3 linked regions of the Canis lupus familiaris genome follow. The protein of the gene in region 1 interacts with the protein of each later gene in a pairwise test. Links are inferred from orthologs where the notes say so. Each region holds a gene or a part of one and is shown in the gene's direction. Other genes may lie near its edges.

The links.
Region 2: the proteins of homeobox protein PKNOX1 (region 1) and PBX2 interact in binary tests that used the Homo sapiens proteins (3 or more experiments, as listed by UniProt). The link is inferred for Canis lupus familiaris from reciprocal best matches to the Homo sapiens genes PKNOX1 and PBX2.
Region 3: the proteins of homeobox protein PKNOX1 (region 1) and PBX3 interact in a two-hybrid assay, tested with the Homo sapiens proteins (2 studies listed by BioGRID and IntAct). The link is inferred for Canis lupus familiaris from reciprocal best matches to the Homo sapiens genes PKNOX1 and PBX3.

What each region holds. Positions count from the first base shown.
Region 1 is NC_049252.1:37,080,657-37,087,812, forward strand, and holds part of homeobox protein PKNOX1, read left to right. Parts: intron 1-1,724; coding exon 1,725-1,852; intron 1,853-4,285; coding exon 4,286-4,457; intron 4,458-6,384; coding exon 6,385-6,555; intron 6,556-7,156. UniProt on the Homo sapiens protein: Activates transcription in the presence of PBX1A and HOXA1.
Region 2 is NC_049233.1:1,711,781-1,719,369, reverse strand, and holds the start of PBX2 (pre-B-cell leukemia transcription factor 2), read left to right. Parts: upstream 1-3,528; 5' UTR 3,529-3,543; coding exon 3,544-3,764; intron 3,765-4,678; coding exon 4,679-4,752; intron 4,753-4,987; coding exon 4,988-5,235; intron 5,236-5,324; coding exon 5,325-5,515; intron 5,516-5,685; coding exon 5,686-5,821; intron 5,822-5,940; coding exon 5,941-6,094; intron 6,095-6,469; coding exon 6,470-6,558; intron 6,559-6,662; coding exon 6,663-6,749; intron 6,750-6,876; coding exon 6,877-6,969; 3' UTR 6,970-7,589. Other genes in the region: GPSM3 (G-protein-signaling modulator 3), read left to right, coding at 961-1,001, 1,187-1,308, 1,525-1,724, 1,949-2,086. UniProt on the Homo sapiens protein: Transcriptional activator that binds the sequence 5'-ATCAATCAA-3'. Activates transcription of PF4 in complex with MEIS1.
Region 3 is NC_049230.1:57,498,272-57,505,982, reverse strand, and holds the start of PBX3 (pre-B-cell leukemia transcription factor 3), read left to right. Parts: upstream 1-3,650; 5' UTR 3,651-3,711; coding exon 3,712-3,911; intron 3,912-4,211; exon of another isoform or gene 4,212-4,303; intron 4,304-4,833; coding exon 4,834-4,907; intron 4,908-7,711. UniProt on the Homo sapiens protein: Transcriptional activator that binds the sequence 5'-ATCAATCAA-3'.

The sequences.
Region 1 (7,156 bases):
CCCTGGAGGTCCTCTGAGAGTTCCAAGTGATTTTTTTTTTTTTCAAAAATGCAAAGCTAGTGTTGTCCTCCTCCCCCCGGCTGAGCCCTGCCTTGTGGACCCTGCATTGCCCTGGTCCACCCCTCAGCACCCCGCTTCTGGGGATCCCTGTCCTGTGGCCTTGGCGCTGGCTCTTCCCTCAAGCAGCAGTTTGGTCAGGGCCCTCCAGTCCTGCTGTCTGTGCTTCCATTGCTTCCTGTTGAAGACTGCCCTGCCTGCCCTGGTCACCACCGTAGCCTCCTCCCTCCCACCTGCCACCTGCCTCTAGTCCTCCCTCCCTTCACTGATCCTTATTCTCCTGTGTTGCACAGATCCCCTGCTGGCAGCTCTGTGTCCTGGGCAGGGCCAGGCACAAGGACGGAAAGAGCCTCACTTTTAATAGCTAAGCGCTTTCCCTTGATGTGGAAAAGTCCTTGTCCACGGTGCTTTGAACATTTACTGTTCTGCAGTATAGATGTGCCCCATTCACTTGGCCACTCCTCTGAAGTTGGACTTTAGGATTCTCTTTTTTCACAATCATTTAAACACACACACACACACACACACACACACACACACCCTGGAATTTTTTTTTTTTTTTTTTTTTGGAATAAATCTTTTAAGGCTCTTTCAGATTTCCCTCCTGAAAGGTTGTGTTTGATTGGGCTTTTGTTAGCTGCTTCAGTGTTTTGTGTTTATGAGAGAGAGAGAAAGAGAGAGAGAGGGAGAGAGAGAGATCTCCCAGGCCCACGGCACCGTCTACGGGCAGTGGGACGCAGGTATTCATGCACAGCTGGACCATCCGAGAGGCAAGGGCGGTGCTAGGGCCTACACTGCAGGGCTCCCCCCTTGGCTTGCACCCACCCCCGGCTGTCAGGGCGGGGTTCATGCCAGGTTGCAGGCTCTCAGGGTACATGCGGATAAGCCCCTTCCCTTGAGTGCCTGCACCCGGCTTCTTCCTCGAGGGACGGGGTTGTGGCAGCCGGGGGTGGGTAGGTGGGTCCTGGTCCTGAGGAGTTCAGGGGGCTGGTGATCTGCTCATGGGTAATTATAAGGTTCCTGCAGCAATTTGAGATTTCTTTCTGTAAACCGAATTCCTTATGTTTAAGGATTTAGATACCTTTCACCTAAGTTAGGAATCAAGTAGCTAGTTTAAAGCAACTTAACTGATAATATCTTTTAATACTGTTTCTTTAAACACAGCTGTCTTTGCCTTCTGAATATGACTTTTTTCCTCAAAATTTGTATAGCTTATGTATTCCTGAAATTAAAGAGTAGATGGGGAGAATTTCAGCCCTGTCCTGAATAGAATGTAGGGTCTGAGTGGTTTCTGTCACAAGAGTTTGAGCTATTTGTGTGTATTTCTCTTACTGCAGTGTTAGTGTGAGGATCTAGAGAGAGATTATTTGTGTGCCACTTGCCTTCAGCACTGTGTCGTAGTATATTTTTGAAAATCATAAGCATTTCTCGGATACTGGTCCTCTCGGTTTTCAAGATAATTTGGAAATTTGACCTTTGTTGTAGCCATTTTCAAAGCCTATTAAATTCAAAGGAGTTTTGTTGGTAGCATTTTTATGTACTATTGCCAGTCATCCCGCTGTGTAGCAATTTACCATTTCTGTTGCATTTGTTTCTGTTTGAGAATAGAGTACGTAGTAGCAGTTTATGTTGTGTTTAGTAACCAAATTCTCCTCCTCCCTTCACAGATGCAAGTAGTAACAGAGTTAAAAACGGAGCAAGATCCCAACTGCTCTGAACCTGATGTGGAAGGAGTGAGCCCTCCACCCGTGGGGTCCCAGACGCCAATGGATGCAGACAAGCAGGCCATTTATAGGTAGCAATGAGATGTGATGCATGTGGGTTTTTAGCAGGAATAACAGGAGTAGAGAACCTTGTTAAATGGAATATACTAGAACTATTAGGTAGGCAGGGTAGGGAAGTAGGTGATAACCACTGGAGTGAGAAGTTTGTCAAGTTAAGATGTTACTCCTAATACCTTAAAAGCTTTGGAATAGAAATCTATGTTTTAGTCAATCTTGTAAAAAGAAACCTTTAGGCCAGGGTAGTTTTACTGGAGAATCCCGTAAAGGAAGAGAGAATGCTTCCCAATACATCACTCTGGTACTAAAGCCAGATAAAGACAATACAAAAAAGAAAAATACACACCGGTGTGCCTCATGAACTTAAGCATAAAAATCACTAATCAAATATTAAATCCAGCAGCACATAGAAAGAATAACATACACTGACCAAGTGGAATCTATCCCACGAACTCAAAACTGATTCACTAGTCAAACAGTCAACCAGTGAGGCCCACAACATGATCATACCAAATGACACAGGAAAGCATTTGACAAAAGTCAGCAGCTAATTATGATTAAAAACTGTCAGCAGAGTGGCAATAGAGGAAAACTTCCCTGACCTGATGAAAGGCAACCTCAAAAGGTCTATAGTTCTCATCATAGTTAATGGCCAAAGACTGTTTTCCTCCGAGCTTGGGCATAAGCAGAGATGTCCACCCTGACTCAACCCATTCACACCGCCGTAATGAAAGTCCTAGCCAGTGCAGTAAGGCACTTTTCTTACTTATAGAAAAGGGATACCAGATTAGAAAGGAAGAAATAAAACTGGCTCTGTGTACAAACAACATAATTGTCTATGTAGAAAATCCCAAGGATTACCGAAAAACTCCCAGAACTACTTAAGTAAGTTTAATAAGGTCACAGATTACAAGAGCTACCAATCCCATTTCTTTCTTTCTTTTTTTTTTTAAGATTTTATTTATTTATTCATGAGAGAGACACACACAGAGAGCGAGGCAGAGACACAGGCAGAGGGAGAAGCAGGCTCCATGCAGGGAGCCCGACATGGGACTCAATCCCGGGTCTCCAGGATCACACCCCGGGCTGCAGGTGGCACTAAACTGCTGTGCCACTGGGGCTGCCCACCAATCCCATTTCTATATGAGTGATATACAATTAGAAGCTGAAATTTAAAAAGACAATACTATTTACAAAAGCTCCAAAAAATTTAGGTATAAATCTAACAAAACACAGAAACTTTATGCTGAAAAACTAGAATGCCAATGCAACAATCAAAGAAAACCTATATTAATGGTGAGACACACCATATTCATGGTTTGAAAGGGTCAACATAGTAAAGATGTCCTTTCTCTTAAAATTGACTTGTAGATTTACCACAATTCCAATTAAAGCCTTAGCAGGATATTTTTGTACATATGGACGAGTTAATTCTAATTTTATACGGAAGGCAAAAGAGCTAGACTTGCTAAAACAGCGTTGAAAACAAAGAACAAAGTTGGATTTTGAGATGTACTATGTATGGTATTACAGTAACGAGGACGTGGTGATGGTGGTGAAGGCATAGGATCAGTGTCACTGATAGAGTCCAGAAGTAGATGTACAAAAACATGATTTATTTGATCTTTGACCAAGGCACAAACACAGTTTCTTGGAGTAGAGGTAGAGTTTCCAACAAGCGGTGTTGGAACAATTAGACATTCATATGCTAAAGGAAGATCCTTGACCTAATCTCACATTTTATATGGAAGTTTACTCAAAATGGAGTATAGATCTATTTTTTAAAAAAAAGATTTTATTTATTTATTCATGAGAGACACAGAGAGAGAGAGGCAGAGACACAGGCAGAGAATCAGGCTCCATGCAGGGAGCTCGATGCAGGATTCGATCCTGGGACTCCAGGATCACACCGTGGGCCCAGAGCAGGCGCTTAACCGCTGAGCCACCCAGGCATCCCTGGAGTATAGATCTAAACATAAAATTTAAAACTACATAAAACTGATCTGTCCACACAGTAAAATATTATTCAGCCACAAAAAGGAACAAAGTATTGGGTGAGCCTGGGAAACACCACGCTAAGGAAGCTAGATGCCAAAGGGCACGTGTGGTATAATTCCGTTTATACGAGATGTCTAGAACTGGCAAATCTGTAGGACAAAGTCGGTAGTGGTGGCCTGGGGCTGGGCTTTGGGGGAAAATGGGCAGTGACTGCTCATGGCTACCAGGTTTCTTTTGGGGGAGGATGAAAAAGCTGCAGAATTGACCTTGGTGATGGTTGCAGCGCTCTGTGAACAGAGTAGACACCATTGGATTGTACACTGTAAGCAGATAAATTGTAGCACGTGAACTGTGTCTCAACAAAGCTGTTACACTAACGAATGCGTACATACATGCTAAAATATTCTCGTGCAAATGTAGAACATATATTTTACATTTTTTCCCCCCAGGCATCCACTATTTCCATTATTAGCTTTGTTGTTTGAAAAATGTGAACAATCTACACAGGGCTCAGAAGGCACAACTTCTGCCAGTTTTGACGTAGATATTGAAAATTTTGTAAGGAAGCAAGAGAAGGAAGGAAAACCTTTCTTCTGTGAAGATCCGGAAACTGACAATTTAGTAAGTAAAATATGTGTTTTATTCTTATTTTTTTACTTCTTCCAAATTTAAGATCCATTCAATAAATTTTAAACTTCAAAGTAGGACTTTAGAATGTAGTTCTGCTAAAGGGGAGAAAGTTCATGAAATAACTTCCTGTGTGTGTGACCTGTCCCCACGTCTTCCAGCCTTCTCTGGTGACCTTTACTGTAGGGATCAAAGGAGATCATCTAAGCCTGCATCACAGAGGGACTGAGGATTCAGTTCTTTTGTAAATATTTGTGAAGTTTGTTGGGGTTGGTGTGCTTACGTGCCCTGCGTCTCGGGCATGTGTGTGCCCCACTCCTGTTCTTGGCTTTTCCCTGATCGTGGCCACACAACCTTATTGTCCAGGACAGACCTTTAGCTCTGTCTTAGGCTGGCAGTAAGGTGTGGTGGGCCACAAGGCTGATGCAGGCACAGAGCCGGCCAGGCTTAACAAAGGGCCCCCACACTTCTCACCGCGTCCCCTGGCCTTTCTGCCTCACGTGGTGGGTGCCCTCCTCCCTGCCTCGGGAGGTTCGGGGTTCCCTGTGCTGTCTAAAGGAACTGCAGAATTTGTCAGAGTTAACATCCCTGCTGCACCCAAAGGAGCACTGCCCTTCTGTGCCAGTGGAGCACGTTAGCCTGCGTTGGGGGGACACGCCCCTTCCCTGGGTTTCCTTTACCGCCTGCTAAGCCCCAGCCCAAAACCTTAGGGCCCTTATCAGCAGAAAAGCATCTTTAGAAAACTTTTTCCTGAATAAATGTCTCGGATCTTTGTTGTTTGTATGTATGTGTATATGTATTTATTTTTAAGATTTTATTTATTTATTCATGAGAGACACACAGAGAGGCAGAGACATAGGCAGAGGGAGAAGCAGGCTCCCTGCGGAGAGCCCGATGTGGGACTGGATCCCGGGACCCCAGGGTCACGCCTTGGGCCGAAGGCAGGCGCTCAACCGCTGAGCCACCAGGCATCCCCCTTTGTTGTTTTTTAATTTCTCATTATACGTTCAACTCTTGGTGCCTAGTGGGCTTTACCAATGCGCTGTCTGAGCTGGAGTCAGCTTCCTCAGCTTTGACCTGGGTCCAACAGTGCCCGCCCTGTGGGGTGAGCAGCAGGAGCTGTCCCCGCCTCTGGATCTCTGGTCCTCAGCCAGCAGTGTGTGGGCCGCGGGTGTAGCCGGAGGGACCCAGGCTCTTCTGACTGGCGTTCCAGCACAGGGCCTAGCAGAGCTGGGCACCCAGTCACTCGCTCTGGTGACCGATGGACTGGTTCGTTCCACAGCACCTACGGATTACTGCCTCCAGGGTCACAGGGAAGGAGCTGGGCGTTGGGTTGTGGATTCACAGGCCTGTAGTGCTTATTATTACAGACCCTTACCTACTGCGGTGGGCCGGGTTACTCTGAAACTTAGTAAAGTCACCATAAAACCTTTGTAAAAATCTTAAAAGGGCTGATCTAGTGCTGGGGGCAGAGTTCTTAGGCTTGACACCGAAAGCACAGGCCATAGAAGGCAGAGCAGGTAAATTAAGTTTTATCAAAATTAAGAGCCGCCTGTGAGATGGGTACGGATTCCTCCCCATTTACAGGTGAAGAAACCGGAGCAGAGGGAGGGGGACCTTGCTCTTTGTGTAGCAGGTCAGTGGGGCCGAGTCGAGGCCCGGCTGCCTCCGGGTGCTGTGACTCCCCAAGGACGGCACGGGGACCATCTGTGTCCCCACACGCCAGATGCAGCGAAAGTGCCAAAGGTCTGTGGCGCTGGGGTGACTCGTCGTCTTGCCTGGTTTCTGACGGGATTCCCCTCCCGTCGGGGGCTGCGCGGCAGTCAGGCCAATACCCGACAGTAGTTAGGTGCCGAGGATTATAATTTACCCTTAAGCTGTCATTTCCTTGTCTGAACGCCTTCATTTTCTCTGCTTCTAGATGGTCAAAGCGATCCAGGTTTTACGTATTCATCTTCTTGAGCTGGAAAAGGTTAATGAACTGTGCAAAGATTTCTGCAGTCGCTACATTGCTTGTCTAAAAACGAAAATGAACAGTGAGACTCTCCTGAGCGGAGAACCTGGAAGCCCGTACTCCCCTGTCCAGTCCCAGGTATCTATGTGGGTCCTGCTGAGCTTCGGGGTGACTGTACGATCTGCACGGGTGACGGGTGCTGTCCTCTGAGACCAGTAGCCCTGTCAGAGCCCCGGGCTGTCTTAGGGCCAACCTCCAGCCAGGAGGACAGGCCCTCGAGGCGTCGTGCAATAAGTGGGGTGAGGCCTCGACTTGTGTACCAGACCCTGGATCCCACCTTTCTGGAGGATGGACTGCCATTCACTGCTTTCCTTTTTCTTTGGAATATGGTTTTTGTTATTTCTTAAAATTGTGGTAAAATACATGTCATAAAACGTAGCATCTTAATCATTTTTAAGTGTACAGTTCGGTGGCATTAAGCATCTTCCCGCTGCTGTGCAAACCATCGTCACCATCCATCTCCAGAGCTTTCCATCTTCGTAGACTGAAATGCTGTCCTCATTAAATGCTGACTCTCCACCTTCCCTCCCCCGCCCCTGGCCCCTACATTCTACTTGCTGTCTCTGTGAGTTTGATTAGTCTACGTACCTCATGTAGGGGATCGTACCGTATTTGTCCTTTTGTGTTTGACACGATGTCCTCAGGGTTCATCCGTTTTGAAGCACTATTATACTTGAGC
Region 2 (7,589 bases), on another chromosome or scaffold:
AGAACCAGATCTCTTTATTACATTTCATGCTCCAAGCCACTCAGCTGCAAACATAATATGGCTGGTTGCCATTTAGAGGTCCCAAAATATCTCTATCCTGCTCCCACCCTGTGCCAGCCAGCCTGACCAGCAGTGAGACCAAGCCAGAAAGGTGGTTGTCTCCCTATTCCATTCCTACATCTTTTATTCATGGCCAGAGGAAAGTTTCCCCTGCCCCTTGGCTCACATTTGGTACATATCTTGTCCCCTGAATAGACTGTAAGCACCTAGAGGGCAGGGATAACTATTTGATAACTCCATATTTATGGAATAGTGTGTGTTGGTTGGCACCACTGCTAGGGGTATGTGTACATGTTTCATGGCCCAATATCCCTGGATCTGAGTCCTCTGCTTCCCAATGCAACCATGCCCCTCCCAGTTCCCATAAGTCTGCAGGAAACTGGGATACAGGGAAGGGTCAAAGCCTACATTGGGGTCCTCTTAGGAAAGGGACCTGAGGAAGGGAGAGGGGCTCTGAAGAGCAAAACCACTTCCTGTGTAGCTAGTTCCTGTGTTGACAGAAAGAGCTGAAGGGGAGGAGGGGAGTGGAGAGAACAGAGCCTGGCCTTGGGGGGGTCTACTGAGCCTCTGGAGACGAGGAGGCCAAGAGTCCTTCCCCACCATGAACCTCCTCCACTACTGCATCTGGAGGAGCTTTTCCCAGTCTCTGTGTTCCCCTGGGGCAAGAGCGGTCAAGCAAGCAGTTTGGGTGGGAAAAGAGAACTGGAGGAAGTTGAAAGGGATGGGCGGGGCCAGTGGGGGGGCTGACCAGGAACCCAGCTTCCTGCTCAGTACCCAGGCATCCAGCCCCTGGCTCACCCCCACCCCTTCCAGCCCCCACTCCCCTCAGGAACCTAGAGTTCCAGCCCTCCTTCCAAATCCCAGCTATCCCTCCCCCATCAGTTTCTCTCCCCCCAGGGGATGGAGGCCGAGAGACCCCAGGAGGAAGAGGATGGTGAACAGGTGAGCTGCGCACTGGGTCGGGGAGGCTAACACTGGGAGAAAGGGAGGTGATGCGACATAGGGCAGAGACGTACTGACAGGGGATTCAGGGGACTTGGAAGGGCTTGGGCAAACTGAGGCAGGAACAGAGACACAGAGAGAGGAAATGGGCTGTTGGCCCACCACTCCCCCGCCTGACTGGACCGGATGTCTCCCAGCATCAAGGCCCCCATCAGGATGAGCAGGACTGGCCCCCTGTGAATGCCACCACTAGGCCTTGGCGATCTGCTCCTCCGTCCCCTCCTCCTCCAGGGACCCGCCACACAGGTACCCTCACCCGGCCAGGGAGCTCCCTGACCTTGGTGCCCACATCCTTCCTGATCCCATTACCAAGGCCATTCCCATCGTGGGCCCTCTCTCCATCTCCTAACTCCCCACTACTCCCCCTCAGCTCTGACCACAAGTTCCTAATCACCTTGCACCACCACCCCTCCTGTCTGCCAATTTCTCTGGGTCTCTGAGCCCTACCCTTCCTTTCCCCAGCCCTGGGGCCCTGCTCCGCCTCCCTGCTCTCCCTACAGACTGAGCTCCTTCTGGATTTGGTGGCTGAGGCCCAGTCCCGCCGCCTAGAGGAGCAAAGAGCCACCTTCCACATCCCCCAGAACCCCCCAAGCATAGCCCCAGCCCCACTTCGGCCTCTTGAGGAGAGAGAACAGCTCTACAGCACTATCCTCAGTCACCAGGTGAGACGCCTCCCCAGAAGGCAAGACCCAGGCTTGCCAGTTCGTTGGCCCTTGTTGTCTTTTGGGCCCTACTCCTCATTTCCCCAGCATCCACCCCTTTGCCAGGCCTGATCCCCTCCATCCCCATCACAGGTGCCCTATAGACCCCTTTCATCAGCCTTGGCTCCTTTCAGGGCCTATTCCTCTTAAAATATTACCGACAACCTCCCTTCCCTCTACTCCAGAGCCAGCGGATGGAAGCCCAGCGGTCAGAGCCTCCCCTACCCCCAGGGGGACAGGAGCTCCTGGAGTTGCTGCTGAGAGTTCAGGGTGGGGGTCGAATGGAGGAGCAAAGGTCTCGGCCCCCCACACATACCTGCTGAGACTTGAGCCCCTCCCCCCCACCAGGCACTCCGCACTCCTGGGGCTCAAAGCTGGGCAGCCCATTGCATGCCCTCTTCTCCTGCTTGGCAGGGGCGCCAGAGACTGAAGGACCTGGGAGAAATCTCAATATTCATCACCCTCATCCACCTTTCTGGGGAATAGAGGGGGTAAAAGTCCACAAACCCTGGGAATAGTCAAGGTAGGATGGTCATTTGACTCCCTTCGCCAGTACACGGCAGTTTGAAGAGGTGAGAGGATCCTAGCCACTGAGGGACACCCCCTCCTCTGATCCCAAGAAGTGGCTGGAAGTCTTGGTCCTGAGCTGTGGAGACACCCCAGTCAGACACCCATAAGGCAGAATCTGAGGGCTCAGGCCTCCATCTCCCTAGAAAAGGCAAATCTCCCAAGGTTAGGGCCTTGAGACACATTAAGAAGGGAGACAGGGCATTGCAAAAGAGACAGACCATCCTCCCACCCTACCACCAGCACCCCCAGCCCCCAGGACTGAGGGGCCTACAGGCTGTGAACCGACACTTAGCACTGCCCACCCCGCCTCCCCACTGCTGCTCGAGTCTGATGTTCTGGTTGTACGAATAAACGTAATTATCCTCTGGACTAAAAGAAGACTGGTGTTGAGGGCTGTGGGGGAGGGGTACGGGGGGGGCAGGAAGGTGAGGCCAGAGGCCGCCTCTCTCCCTAGCCTGGCGAGAGGCCAGCTCCCCTCCCTGGCTGGTTAATTACTGGCTCATTAAGCAGCGGCTGGAGACTTCCCTAATTATACCCCCCCAGCCCCCCTTTCCTGGTTTTAATTAAGTATAACAGGGAGGGGAGTCATTAGGACAAGAAATATGAACGGAACTGTCTGCGAACCCGGGCATTCTAGCGGCCGGAGTCCACGGCACCTGGAACCCCGACTCGGAGCCCCGGCGGCGGCCCCCCAGCCCCGACCCGCGCCGCCCTCCCGCCCCGGCCTCCGCTCCTCTCCCCCGGCCTCCAGCCTCCTCCCCTCGCCCCCTCGTCCCTCTCCCCTCCTCCACTCGGTCCCAGTTCCTCGGTTTCTGTGTGTCTCTCTCCGCCCCCAGCTCCTCCCCGTTCCTCCTCTCTTCTCCCCTCCTCTTCCTCCCCGGCTCCCCTCCCCCAGCCTCCCTCCCTCGCTCCCCCCCTCCGCCCTCCTCCCTCCTCCCTCTCTCGCTCACACACACCCCCGCTTGGGCCTCCTCTCTCTCTCCGGCTCCATTTTCTCCGCCGCCGGGGGCCGGGGTCTCCTGTGGGGGGCCCAGCCGGTACCCCAGGTCTCCCTTCGGGGTGGGGGTGAACCCCCGGGGGAGCCGGGAGGGGGGAACGGGTGGGGGTTAGGGCGGAGGGAGCAGCGGCCCCACCGAGTTTGGGGGTGGGGAAGTAACTAGGCGGGGGGAGGGGCGGAGCAGGGAGGGGGCCTCAGGGCCCCCCCCCAACTATGGACGAGCGGCTGCTGGGGCCGCCCCCTCCGGGCGGGGGCCGCGGGGGCCTGGGATTGGTGGGTGGGGAGCCCGGGGGCCCTGGCGAGCCTCCCGGCGGCGGAGACCCCGGTGGGGGTAGCGGGGGGGTCCCGGGAGGCCGAGGGAAGCAAGACATCGGGGACATTCTGCAGCAGATAATGACCATCACCGACCAGAGCCTGGACGAGGCCCAGGCCAAGTGAGTGCCCCCACCCCGGGACCCTACACAGACCCAACAGAAGCCCCATTCACAAGAATCTTCTGGGAGTCCCCACCCCCACCCCCCACTCCAGGACCCCCTCCAGGATCCTACAGCTTCTTCTCTCCTTACTCCTGGGAGCCCCAAGATGAGCCATCCCTCTCAAACCCCCCTTCACCACCAGGCCCTGAAGCCTTCAAAGAAGGGAACCCAGGGTGGTCTCACCGCAACCCCATCCCCAACCCCTCACTGACCCCCATACTCCCCTGGAACATCTTTTCCATCTCCAGAGCCCTGTTCTGGCTCTCTGATTAAGAAATTGCTATGCTGTCTTCCTAACTCTCCATCCAGCCCACCCCCACCCCATCCTCTCCAGACCTCAGCCCTCCCCAAAGCTCCTACCACTCCTCTCCACCATGACCCAGCATCCATGTGTCCCCACCCAGCCCGTGGCCCCTGCTCAGCCAGACTGGGATCATCAGAGCCTCCTGGCTTCCTCAGTCCCAGGACCCTCCGCTCACACCTATGTTGAACTTCTCCAGCCCCTCTCTGGCACCTCAAACTCCGACTCTTCTCCCAGTCTCTGTCTCTTTTCCTCTGAAATCTACCTAGTCACCCTCATGTCGGCAGTCACCCCCAGACTCCCCTTCTAGACCCATTTCCCAGGGCCCCGTTCAAGCCCATGGGGCCTTTATCTTGCTGCCTGCACCTTCCTAAAGCCAAACAGCCCCCACATCTCCACATTCCAGGAGCTGACCTCTTTCCAAGAAGCCCCCAACTCCATCCTGCCCCCACCCCCACTTTCTACCTCCCTTCTCGTTCCGGGCTGCCCTCTTTCTCACCTTCATGGTCTCCCCAACCCCACCCCATCTCTGTTTCTATTGACCCTCAACTGTTCTCCCCTTCCTCCCAAGGAAACACGCCCTCAACTGCCACCGCATGAAGCCTGCTCTCTTTAGTGTTCTGTGTGAAATCAAGGAGAAAACCGGTACGTGGGTCCCCCTCTGACTCCTCACCTCTGGGGACTGAACCCTGTTCTTTATAGGAGTCAGGCCAAGAGTTTGACATCTTGGGGCCCTGAGGACAGTAGGGGTTAGGTAAGATGCTAGGAGGAACTGGGAAGGGAACCAGAGCCTGGGAACATGGGTCTCCAGGAGCCACCAGGTGGGCTGAGAGCTGGCCATGGGCTCCCTGGTCCCTGAGTTCACTCACCTGCCTGCTAGGCCTCAGCATCCGAAGCTCCCAAGAGGAGGAGCCGGTGGACCCACAGCTCATGCGCCTGGACAACATGCTTCTGGCAGAGGGTGTGGCTGGACCGGAGAAAGGGGGGGGCTCAGCCGCAGCTGCTGCAGCTGCTGCAGCCTCCGGGGGCGGCGTGTCCCCTGACAACTCCATTGAGCACTCCGACTACCGCAGCAAACTTGCCCAGATCCGCCACATCTACCACTCAGAGCTGGAGAAGTATGAGCAGGTTAGGAGATGAGGCTGGAGTGGGTGAGAGGAGAGGCTCCTAATGGGGAATCCCAAGGCTCCTCACAGCCCACGGGCCCCCTGCTGCAGGCCTGTAACGAGTTCACGACCCACGTCATGAACCTGCTGAGGGAGCAGAGTCGCACACGGCCTGTGGCACCCAAGGAGATGGAGCGCATGGTGAGCATCATCCATCGCAAGTTCAGTGCCATCCAGATGCAGCTCAAGCAGAGCACCTGTGAGGCTGTCATGATCCTGCGTTCCCGCTTCTTGGATGCCAGGTGGGGCTCGGGTGCCCAGGCGAGCCCCTGACCCAGGGTTCCCCCAAGCCCCTGGGCCACCATGTGACACAACATGGCGCTCCATGGCAATGGCCCCCTCTAGAATGATGCGAGATGGAGGCCCTGCCAGGACAGCTGGCCTTCTCACCACCATGCTCCCTCCTCTGTAGACGAAAACGCCGCAACTTCAGCAAACAGGCCACTGAGGTCCTCAATGAGTATTTCTACTCCCACCTGAGTAACCCATATCCTAGTGAGGAGGCTAAGGAGGAGCTTGCCAAGAAGTGCGGAATCACTGTCTCTCAGGTACTGGGGAGGCTTGCAGGAGCAGTGGGGTTCAGGTCAAAAGCTCTCTGATTCTAACTGAGAGGCTGGTGGGGGGAAAGGTCTGCACCTGACCCTCCTTTATGCTCAACACCCAACAGGTCTCCAACTGGTTTGGCAACAAACGGATTCGCTATAAGAAAAATATTGGAAAGTTCCAAGAGGAGGCAAACATCTATGCCGTCAAGACCGCCGTGTCAGTCACCCAGGGGGGTCACAGCCGCACCAGCTCCCCGACACCCCCTTCCTCTGCAGGTGGACCCCACTGTCATCCTGGCTATCTTGCACGCTTCCTGCCTTTGTTCCCACTTCCTATCTAGGCAGGATCTCAGCAGAGTAGGGGCCTTTTGGGGTGAGAGGGACCTAGCTGAGGTGGGGTGGAGATGTCAGGAGGTAAAGGCCATCCCAGCGAAGCTACTTCTGTCCTCCAGCAAGTGGCCGGGGAGCCACAGGAGAGGCTCAGAAACAGCCTGCTCCTCCTTGTTGTAGTGCCTTAGGAATAAATTGCATATAGTGGCACCCCCTTAGAAATAGTTCTGAGGGCTTCTTGGAAACAGCACTGTAGTGAGCCTTCTGTCTGCTGTCACAGGTTGTTACACTCTTCCCTAATTCCCTCTCTGTTCTCCCAAGGCTCTGGCGGCTCTTTCAATCTCTCAGGATCCGGAGACATGTTTCTGGGGATGCCGGGGCTCAACGGAGATTCCTACTCTGCTTCCCAGGTCAGGTGGCCCATGTCCCCTCCATTGGGGCTTTCCCAAACTCTTGCCTGCTCTTCAGAATATAAGACGCCTCACAGTGTCATACCCTTCTTTGCTGCCTGCAGGTGGAATCACTGCGACACTCAATGGGGCCAGGGGGCTACGGGGATAACCTTGCGGGAGGCCAGATGTACAGCCCTCGGGAAATGAGAGTGAGTGGATACCCGATGCTCCCTCTGTCTACCTCTCACCCAGACAGGAGGGCCTTTCCCCTGGTGGCCTTGTCTCCCACACTGAATCTCCCAGAGCCCTGCCCCAACCAACTCTCTCTTTTTTTAGGCCAACGGTGGCTGGCAGGAGGCTGTAACCCCGTCCTCAGTGACATCTCCGACAGAGGGACCAGGGAGCGTTCACTCTGACACTTCCAACTGATCTTGCCCCTCAGGGCCAGAGGGGTGGGGGCTCACAAGGCGACTCTTGAAGAGGACGCAGGCATCCAGAGGACAAACCCCAGACACAGGAGAAGCACAAGACAGAGAAGGGCGAATGGGGTCATCCTGTCCCCAACCAGACTGTCTCAGTGCTGGGGGTGCTAACTACGTGGCAGGGAGAATGGGGTCCCCTAAGGGGAGAGTGGGGTCTGTCTTCCCTTTTTTCAGTCTTTTTCTCTCACATAAACCCCGCAGCCCAGAGTCCTATTGTTCAGATCACCTTCCCCTTGCTCTACCCACCATATTGTATTCCATTTCTTTCTCTGGGCTCCCCCCTCCCCCACCCCACTTACCTGCTCTGGGATCTGTGGAGAAGCCAGCCCTGCCTGACCAGATGCCAAAACTGGGGACATGACTTCTGGACAGAGGACACGGGCCATGAGCCCTGTTCCTCCCTACCCCCTGCCCCTCCAGATGGCTTTATTACCTCATACGCAGCTCATCTTAAACCAATAGAATCGTTCGGTGGACGAGAGTGTCTGACTCAGATATCTACCTCGGAGGGAGTTTCTGCTACTTTAGGGAGTTGTTGACTGGGCTTAGGGCTTGATTTTTTTTTTT
Region 3 (7,711 bases), on another chromosome or scaffold:
TTCTATTATAGAAGGCACCAAACCACGTGGCTCAGATTGCTGAACAGACAAGGCAACAATGTACATGAGAAACTGGCAGAGGCACAAGAGATCTTGGAACATGTGCAATTAATTGACACTGTTTATTCGGTCTTGGAAACTAATCTAAAAGAATTTACACTTTAAATCAATGGTGACTGCCAATGAGCCTATGAGGGAATCCTTGCTAGGACCCTCTGGCTTTAACTGCAACTCATATTGATAATAACAAAAAGAGAAGCCTCCCAAGCAGAAGGTCAATCTAACCTAATCACTTAATGCAGAATTATGATATCAAATTTCCACATCACTGAATGACCATGGGTTTAGAGGTGTGTGCCATAAAATAGCTGCGGGTGTTAGACATTTAACAAGTTGTTTTATTCCTAATTGCTGGCATTTGCTTAACTGTTTTCTTAATTCTAATTTATGTTTTTATGTTCCGGTTTGTTTACATAGCCCATAGATCCCAATTGCCTTTATTTGCTTAAGTGTTTCTTTAATTTTATTTACATTTTTATATATGTTGCTTTGCTTACATAACTCATTGTTTAGGAGCAGACTAGAAATAACCATAAATCCCCATTGCTAATTAGCTTCATCCTCATGACTGATTAGTCAAGATTATGAGCCTAGAAGAAGGGCAGGAAGGTGGCCTGAGAGTGAGTCATAGGATCAGTGAATTTTATAAATGGAAGGAATTTAGAGCTTAAGGTGTCTTTCCGATAGAATTCCGTGGTTTTACATCTTCAGCATTAGAGAATTGTGAGAAAGATGGGATGCTTACTCTTACTCCTTTATGCAAAAATGTAGAAGGATTTGGTAACAGCTTTGAAAAACAAGTTAAGAATAAACAGAAAGGCCAACCAATGATGACTATGAGTAACCCATAATGGGGGCTTGAAAGAAGAATCAGAAACTTGACATATGAATGGGCTATAGAAGAGCAGGGAATATTAATGAACATGAGGGGGCTTCTTTGGAAGTAAGCAGAATGGATTGTTTGGAACTCCCTCTCCAGCAGCTGTGCAGTTTAGTTTGTAAAGATTTTAGCTTGCCTAACTGTAAGGTTAGCTATTAGCTTTGCAGTGGGGAGTATTTAAAAGTACACACAACATATGAAGGAAAGAACCTGGAACCGAGTAGCCTGCTTCATTCCAAGAATCCATCTGGCATGTAAAGAACTGCTTGTCCTACATTAAACCCTGCAGAGTAAGAGCCATTTTTCATATCTCATACCCCTATTTTTGGTTTCAGATAAGACAGCCCTCTGAGTTTAGGGAAGGAACAAGACTTTTCAGAACCATCTAACTAAAGGACCCATCTAGGATGAGCTCCATGAATCTCAAAATGGAGACACGTGGAAGTTGTTTGGGAAATGGGTTTAAAAGAAAGCTCAAGGGGCAGCCCGTGTGGCTCAGCTGTTTAGCGCCTGCCTTTGGCCCAGGGCGTGATCCTGGAGACCCGGGATCGCGTCCCACGTCGGGCTTCCCGCATGGAGCCTGCTTCTCCCTCTGCCTGTGTCTCTGCCTCCCTCTGTGTCTCTCATGAATAAATAAATAAAAATCTTTAAATAAAAAAGAAAAGAAAGCTCAAGTGACCGCAAGAGCGGGAAGTCTAGATCCCCAAATAATGTGTCTTTAGTCATTTGTAGACAGAGAACAATGTAAGAAAAGGTGTTTTGGATGTGAAAATCCGTAGCCGGGGTCCCCAACATTAAATGACTCCTGGTGATGGGGCAGGTTGATAAGTGAAATCCAGTCTATCGTAAGGTAAACTTATCTTTGTAATAAAGAGCTCGTTTTCGCAACTTTGGCCCATCTGGAGGCAGCTGAAGGCAAACCCTAAAAAAAAAAAAAAAAAAATAAATAAGTAAATAAATAAGTAAATAAATAAATAAATAAATAAATAAATAAATAAATAAATAAATAAATAAATAAAAATAAAGGCAAACCCTGCCAAAGGAGCAATCCCTGGATTATCAAGAATTGCAGACTGTGAGCTGTTGCGAGGCCTGCACTGGTGCTGGACGTCAGGCCGTTTCCCTCCTCCCACAGCCACCTCCCTCTGACACATTTCCCAACGCTCCCGTTTCAAGAGAAAGTGTCTGGCACTCAGATCCGCTCCAAGCAGACGCAGACCTGCAGCAAGCGGGACAACGGGCTCCCGCCCCGCCTGGTCACCTCGGGAGGGACGGCGCAGGGCCCGAGCGCAGCGCCCACCCGGAGCGGCGCCCTCTCGGTCCCTACGGTGATCCCGGGAGGGGCGGGTCCCCGTCCGCGGCTTCCCCGCCTCCGCCCAGGACAGTTCGAATGCTCCAATCGGGACAGCGCGTTCCTGCCTCTGTCCCGCCCCGTTCGGCTCCGAGCGCAGCACGATTGGCCTGGGACGGGCAGCGGAACCCCGAGGGGACCACCTCCTGACGGCGAGGGCGGGAAAGCGTGCCAGGCGCTGCCCTAGGCGTGAAGCGCGCGGCGCTGCGGGCGGGCACACGGGGGGCTTTGGAGCGACTTGCCCCGTGTCCCGTACGCGACTCCTCGCACCCGGGACTGTGCACAGCAGCGGCCAGGAGCCCGGGCGGGCGCGGGGCAGAGCGCTTGCAGGCCGGGGCGGCTGCTCTGGCGGGCCCAGGACGCACGCAGGCGTGAGGAGACCGCGGCGCGCTCCCGGGCGCTGGGGACCCGAGGCCGGAGAGGCCGGGCCGCGGCTCGGGGGAGGCGCCAGCGGCGGCGGCGGGAGGCGCAGCGGCCAATGAGCGCGCGCGCCGCCCTCGGGGGCGGGGCGTGCGGCGCGCTGCCCGCCCCCCCCCGCCCCCGCCCCTCCCCCCCGGCGCCGGGGCCGCAGTGAGTGAGTGGCACTGGCAGCCTGTCAATCCCTCAGTCGAGCGGCCTCCGAGCCCGGTTCGCGGCGGCGGCTGGCAGGGCGCGCGGCTCCGGCAGCGGCGGCGGCGACTCCTCCCGCCCCACAGTCTGCTGTCCGCCCGGCGCGCGGCCCGCCGGGGCCCTCCACTGGGCTCCGCGCCCCGCTGCGCCGGCCCGCCCGCTCCCAAACTTTCCTCCTCCGCCCCCTTCGCTCCCCTCGGCCCGCCCGCCGGCCTCCTCCTCCTCCTCCTCCTCCTCCGCCGCCGCCGCCGCCGCCGCCTGCCGCCGCCGCTCCCTCCCCCGGGGCCACCGGGGCTCGGATCCCGCCCGGCCGAGGCGGCGGCGGCGGCGGCGGCCGGGGGAGGGGAGTGCGCGGGCTGGGAGGGGGGCGGCGGGCGTCCCGGCAACTCGGCGGGCTCTGAGGAGCAAGTTGCGCGGGGCCGCCCGGCGGGGCGCGCGGCGGCGAGGAGGCGGCGCGGCGGCCGCGTGAGGGCAGCGGGCGCCGCTGCCTCCGCCTCCGCCACCGCCACAGCCACCGCCGCGGAGCCCGGCGCTTCCGCCCGGCGCTTCTCCTCAGCCTCGGCGGCGGCGGAAGCCGGAGCCGGGCGCCCGTCCGCGCCGCCTCAGCCGCGAGCCCCGCCGGCCGGGCCGCCCCCTCCCCGCGCGGGCGGGGAGCGCGCGGCCGCCTCCCCCTCCCCCTCCCCTCCCCCTCCCCCTCTTTCTTCTCCTCCCTCGTCGCCGCCGCCGCCGCCGCCGCCGCCGCCGCCGCCGCCGCCGCCTCAGCCTTCGCCGTAGCCGCCGCCGCCGCCCGCTCCCGCCCGCGCGCGGCGGGATGGACGATCAATCCAGGATGCTGCAGACTCTGGCCGGGGTGAACCTGGCCGGCCACTCGGTGCAGGGGGGCATGGCCCTGCCGCCTCCCCCGCACGGCCACGAAGGGGCGGACGGCGACGGCAGGAAGCAGGACATCGGCGACATCCTCCACCAGATCATGACCATCACCGACCAGAGCTTGGACGAGGCGCAAGCAAAGTTGGTGTCTCATTAAGCATCTTTTGTGTGCGTGCGGGAGCCGGGCCCGCGGCCGAGTCGGGGCCCCGGGGGCGGGGAACTTTCTCCGCAGACCGGCCGCCTGCCTGCCGGGGCCGCCGGGGGCCCTGCCCGCCCCCCCCGACGCGGGCGGGAGTCGGCAAAGTTGGTCCCGGGGCTCGGGACGGACGCGGTGCCCGCGGGTTCCCGGTGGTCCGCCTCCCGCGTCCGGCGCTCCCGCGGCCCGGCCCCCTCCCGCGGACTCCAAGCTCCCGCCCGGCCCCCGCGCGCGCTGCCCCGAGAGGGCCCCGGGCCGCGCTCGCGGGAAGTGCAACTTTCTCCCCCCGCCCGGAGTCGCGGCGCCGGGCGTCCCTCGGCGGCCGGACGGCCTCGCGGTGCGGGCGGCCGCCCCAGCCCGGCGGGCGCGGGGTGCCGGGCGGCTCCCTGGCGCGTCCGGGTGCGGGCGGCCAAGTTCTCGGGGAGGGAGGGCCGCCTCGCAAACTTTGCCGGGCTGTCACCGCCCGCTGGCCGCGCTCGGCCGGCCGCCGCCGCAGCGCCCGCTCCCCCTGCGGAGGGCGGAGGGCGGAGGGCGGACGCGGGAGCCGGTCCGCGCCGTCCCCTCCCTCGGGGCGCAGGGCTCCGCTCGGCTGTCGAGGCGCCCCGCTCGGGTTCGCGCCCTGCGGTCGCCGAGGCGGCCGCCCGCCGGACGGATGGGTCGCGCCTCGAACGGGCTGGAGCTTGAGCCGCCCGAGCTTGCGGGCTTTCGCTAACTAGTCAACTTGAGTTTCTGTTGACTTGCCCTGGTTCCAGGCGAGCCTTCCAAAAGAGAGGGCCGGGATTCAATCTTGGGTCGAACTTAAAGGAAGGCGCCATATTATTCCATAGGTGATGCTAATACCTTTGTATGTTGCGATTTGTCTTTTAGGAAACATGCTCTCAACTGTCACAGAATGAAACCTGCGCTCTTCAGCGTCCTGTGTGAGATCAAAGAGAAAACAGGTAAGAGGCTGCGCCCCGCAGCGGGCCTGGAGACCCCCGAGGTGGGGTCAGAGCTACTCCTTCCACTCTCCAGTTGAGAGCTGCTGCTTTTGGGCACCGCCATCTTTGATCATTCTCTCCTTCCCACCTCCTGGTCTTGAGGAAAAACTGCAATAAATCTGCTGGAGTCGATTTCTCAATTCCGCCCCTGGTATAAAATGAAGTGTAGATGCGGACGGGGCTGGGTCGCTGTCCCCAGGCGGCCGCCCCTGGCTGCAGGCAGGGAGGGGCCCCCCCCCACGAGCCGAGCGCCAGCCGCCTTGCCTTCTCCCGCTCCTTTCGCCTTGTTTGTATGTCAGTTTTTAAAAGGAGCAACGGGAGACTGGATGCCAGGGACCGAGTCCCTGGGAGAAGCATCTCCTAACTTTGTTTTACTTAGACACCCTAAGTAAGCTTCAGCTCCGCAGATAGATGCAATTGAACAGACTCCAGGAGGATGTCTGGATTAGGGTTTTAGTTGGAAAGGCTACTTTTAAGAAGCAGGAAAGGGTAATGATGTGTTTAGGCATACACAATGTATTACACCTATTACTTTCATTAAATTTTATGTTTGAAGTCATTACATTGTAAATACGTTTAATATGTTTTAGAAAGTAGAAAAAGGTTCACAGCAGGTTACACAATTTTTGAAGTGTTCAGTGCAGGGAACATATGAGAAAGACAGGTTTGACAGAAGTGCTGGAATAAAAACTACAAAAACATGAGTCTCTGACAGTTCATTTCAATTGAATTTTCTTGTTAGGCTTTTTAAAATTAAAGGTATTTTAGTTTTGAGGTGATAACTCAAGTGGAATCAGAAATTTAATTTAGGTGCTTTAGTTCGGATTTGGCGTTATCTGCCCTGTATTATGGCAAACAAGTGCATTAAACAAGCTTTACTGTTGATTTGTCTGGGGTGCGTGCTTGTGTGTGTGTGTGTGTGTGTGTGTGTGTGGTAGCTATATGGTATTATAAAGTTGCTGTTTTTTAAGTTGAGGCAGAGAAGAGAAAGTTAAAATCCAGGATATAGCAATATCCAAGTGATGCTTTTAAAAGATTAAATGTCATTGTATTTAAATCAAGTGTACAAATGATAGTACACTGAATATACTTGTTAGTTGGTAGGAGTATTGCCATCCCTTTAAGTAGATTTTTCACACTCAGTGCTATTCTAATTCTAAAAGTAATCAAGAGAAGATGATGGGTTATTGCTATCTATTAAAATGTATACTGAAACCATAATTAATAGAAAATATTGAGATCTTTAAAGAACAGTTTTCTTGCTTCTCATTCACATAGCATTCATGGTTTGTAAATGCTGAGTGATTCTTTTTAAGATAACATTTTACATTTTGAAAACTACAGGCATTTTAAATTACTAACTTTGTGTTGATTTTTAGCCACCTTTAGGAAGCATTGTGATTTAAAATGGTAGATAATTTTTGTCTGACTATAAAATGAGACATCAAACATTAAATCTTGAAGATTCTTAGTTTAGAAGCCTAAAAGTGTACAATTCTCAGTAAATTATGTTGCTTAATGTCCAAGGATTTTCTCGCTATCAGGGCTCCACTTCAGTTTCTGCTGACAGCTAAGCACTGGGGTATTGACTATGTTGTGAATATTAAGATTGATTCAACTTACACTGCATTATATTACTAGGGAGAGGAGATTGATATTCTTCTCCTATCACCCCCCATCTCGTTATTTGTATTTATTTTTTTGCCTTTTTAAAGTTTTGGCCTAGCCAGCTCGAGAACCAAACCCAGCAAACTGCTTTTCTTATTTGGACACTTAGCAGCAGGCCGAATTCAATTAGGAGGCATAAGTCCTCTAGTTGCTTATTTGCACAAGACTTAGTTACACTATTCTGAAAGGAAAGTATAGTCAGCCTAATGTCAAAGGTGAGTTACGAAAAAGAAACAAGTCTTTTCAGACTCTGGGATTACTGGCAGAGAGAGCTTCGGTCGGGCTCTTGCTATTTAGAAAGGAAGAGGTAGCTGACAAAGGAAGGAAATTTTTGTGTTTTGAAAATTGTTTCTGAGGCTTTCAGTGATAACTTGTAAATTAGATCCTCTTTTTATGCTTTGGCCAGCAGATTCAAGTTTGCACGTTATCTCTTTTGTAAAAAGCCAACAGCCGACAAAGAGTAAAAGGCAGCTGTCTGGGTAGAGGCATCTTCCTGCCTGCCTCTCTAAGCTGGAGAGGGACAGGATTTAAGTACCATATGATTGATGGGGGTGAAGCTCTTTCTCTCCTCTCCTTTCTACCCACCACCCATAGCTCCACCTCATCCTCCAAAACTAGTCTTAGAAAGAGACAGGGACGCTGGACCTTGTATCCTTGATTTGAAATAAAACATCTGTGTAGACATTAGTGTTACCAAGGCAAAGAACGCGGGGCAGCAAATTCCAGGCCTCCCCCTTTCTCCCCACATCTGTTCCCACAGTTGTGCTTTGGAAACATCATGAACTTATAAAATAATCATTGTAGAATATATGTATATTGCATAATGGTTTTCCTTTAGATCATTTTATTTAATCTTATAATGTGGCACCCAGAGATTATTTCTCTGCAATCTAGAGAAAGTTTACCTATTTGTAGCAGAAACTGGAATATTATGTGATGACTCTATTCTGCATAATGGAGGGGTAGGGGGTTGACTAGTGGGGAGGTGGGGGGGAAAAACTGTCACTTCAAGGGATAATGTCATTTCAGTTGTGCTTTTCCTAAAATAAGACAAAATCATTTAAAAAGAATTCCATGTATTTATAGATCTGCCAGTA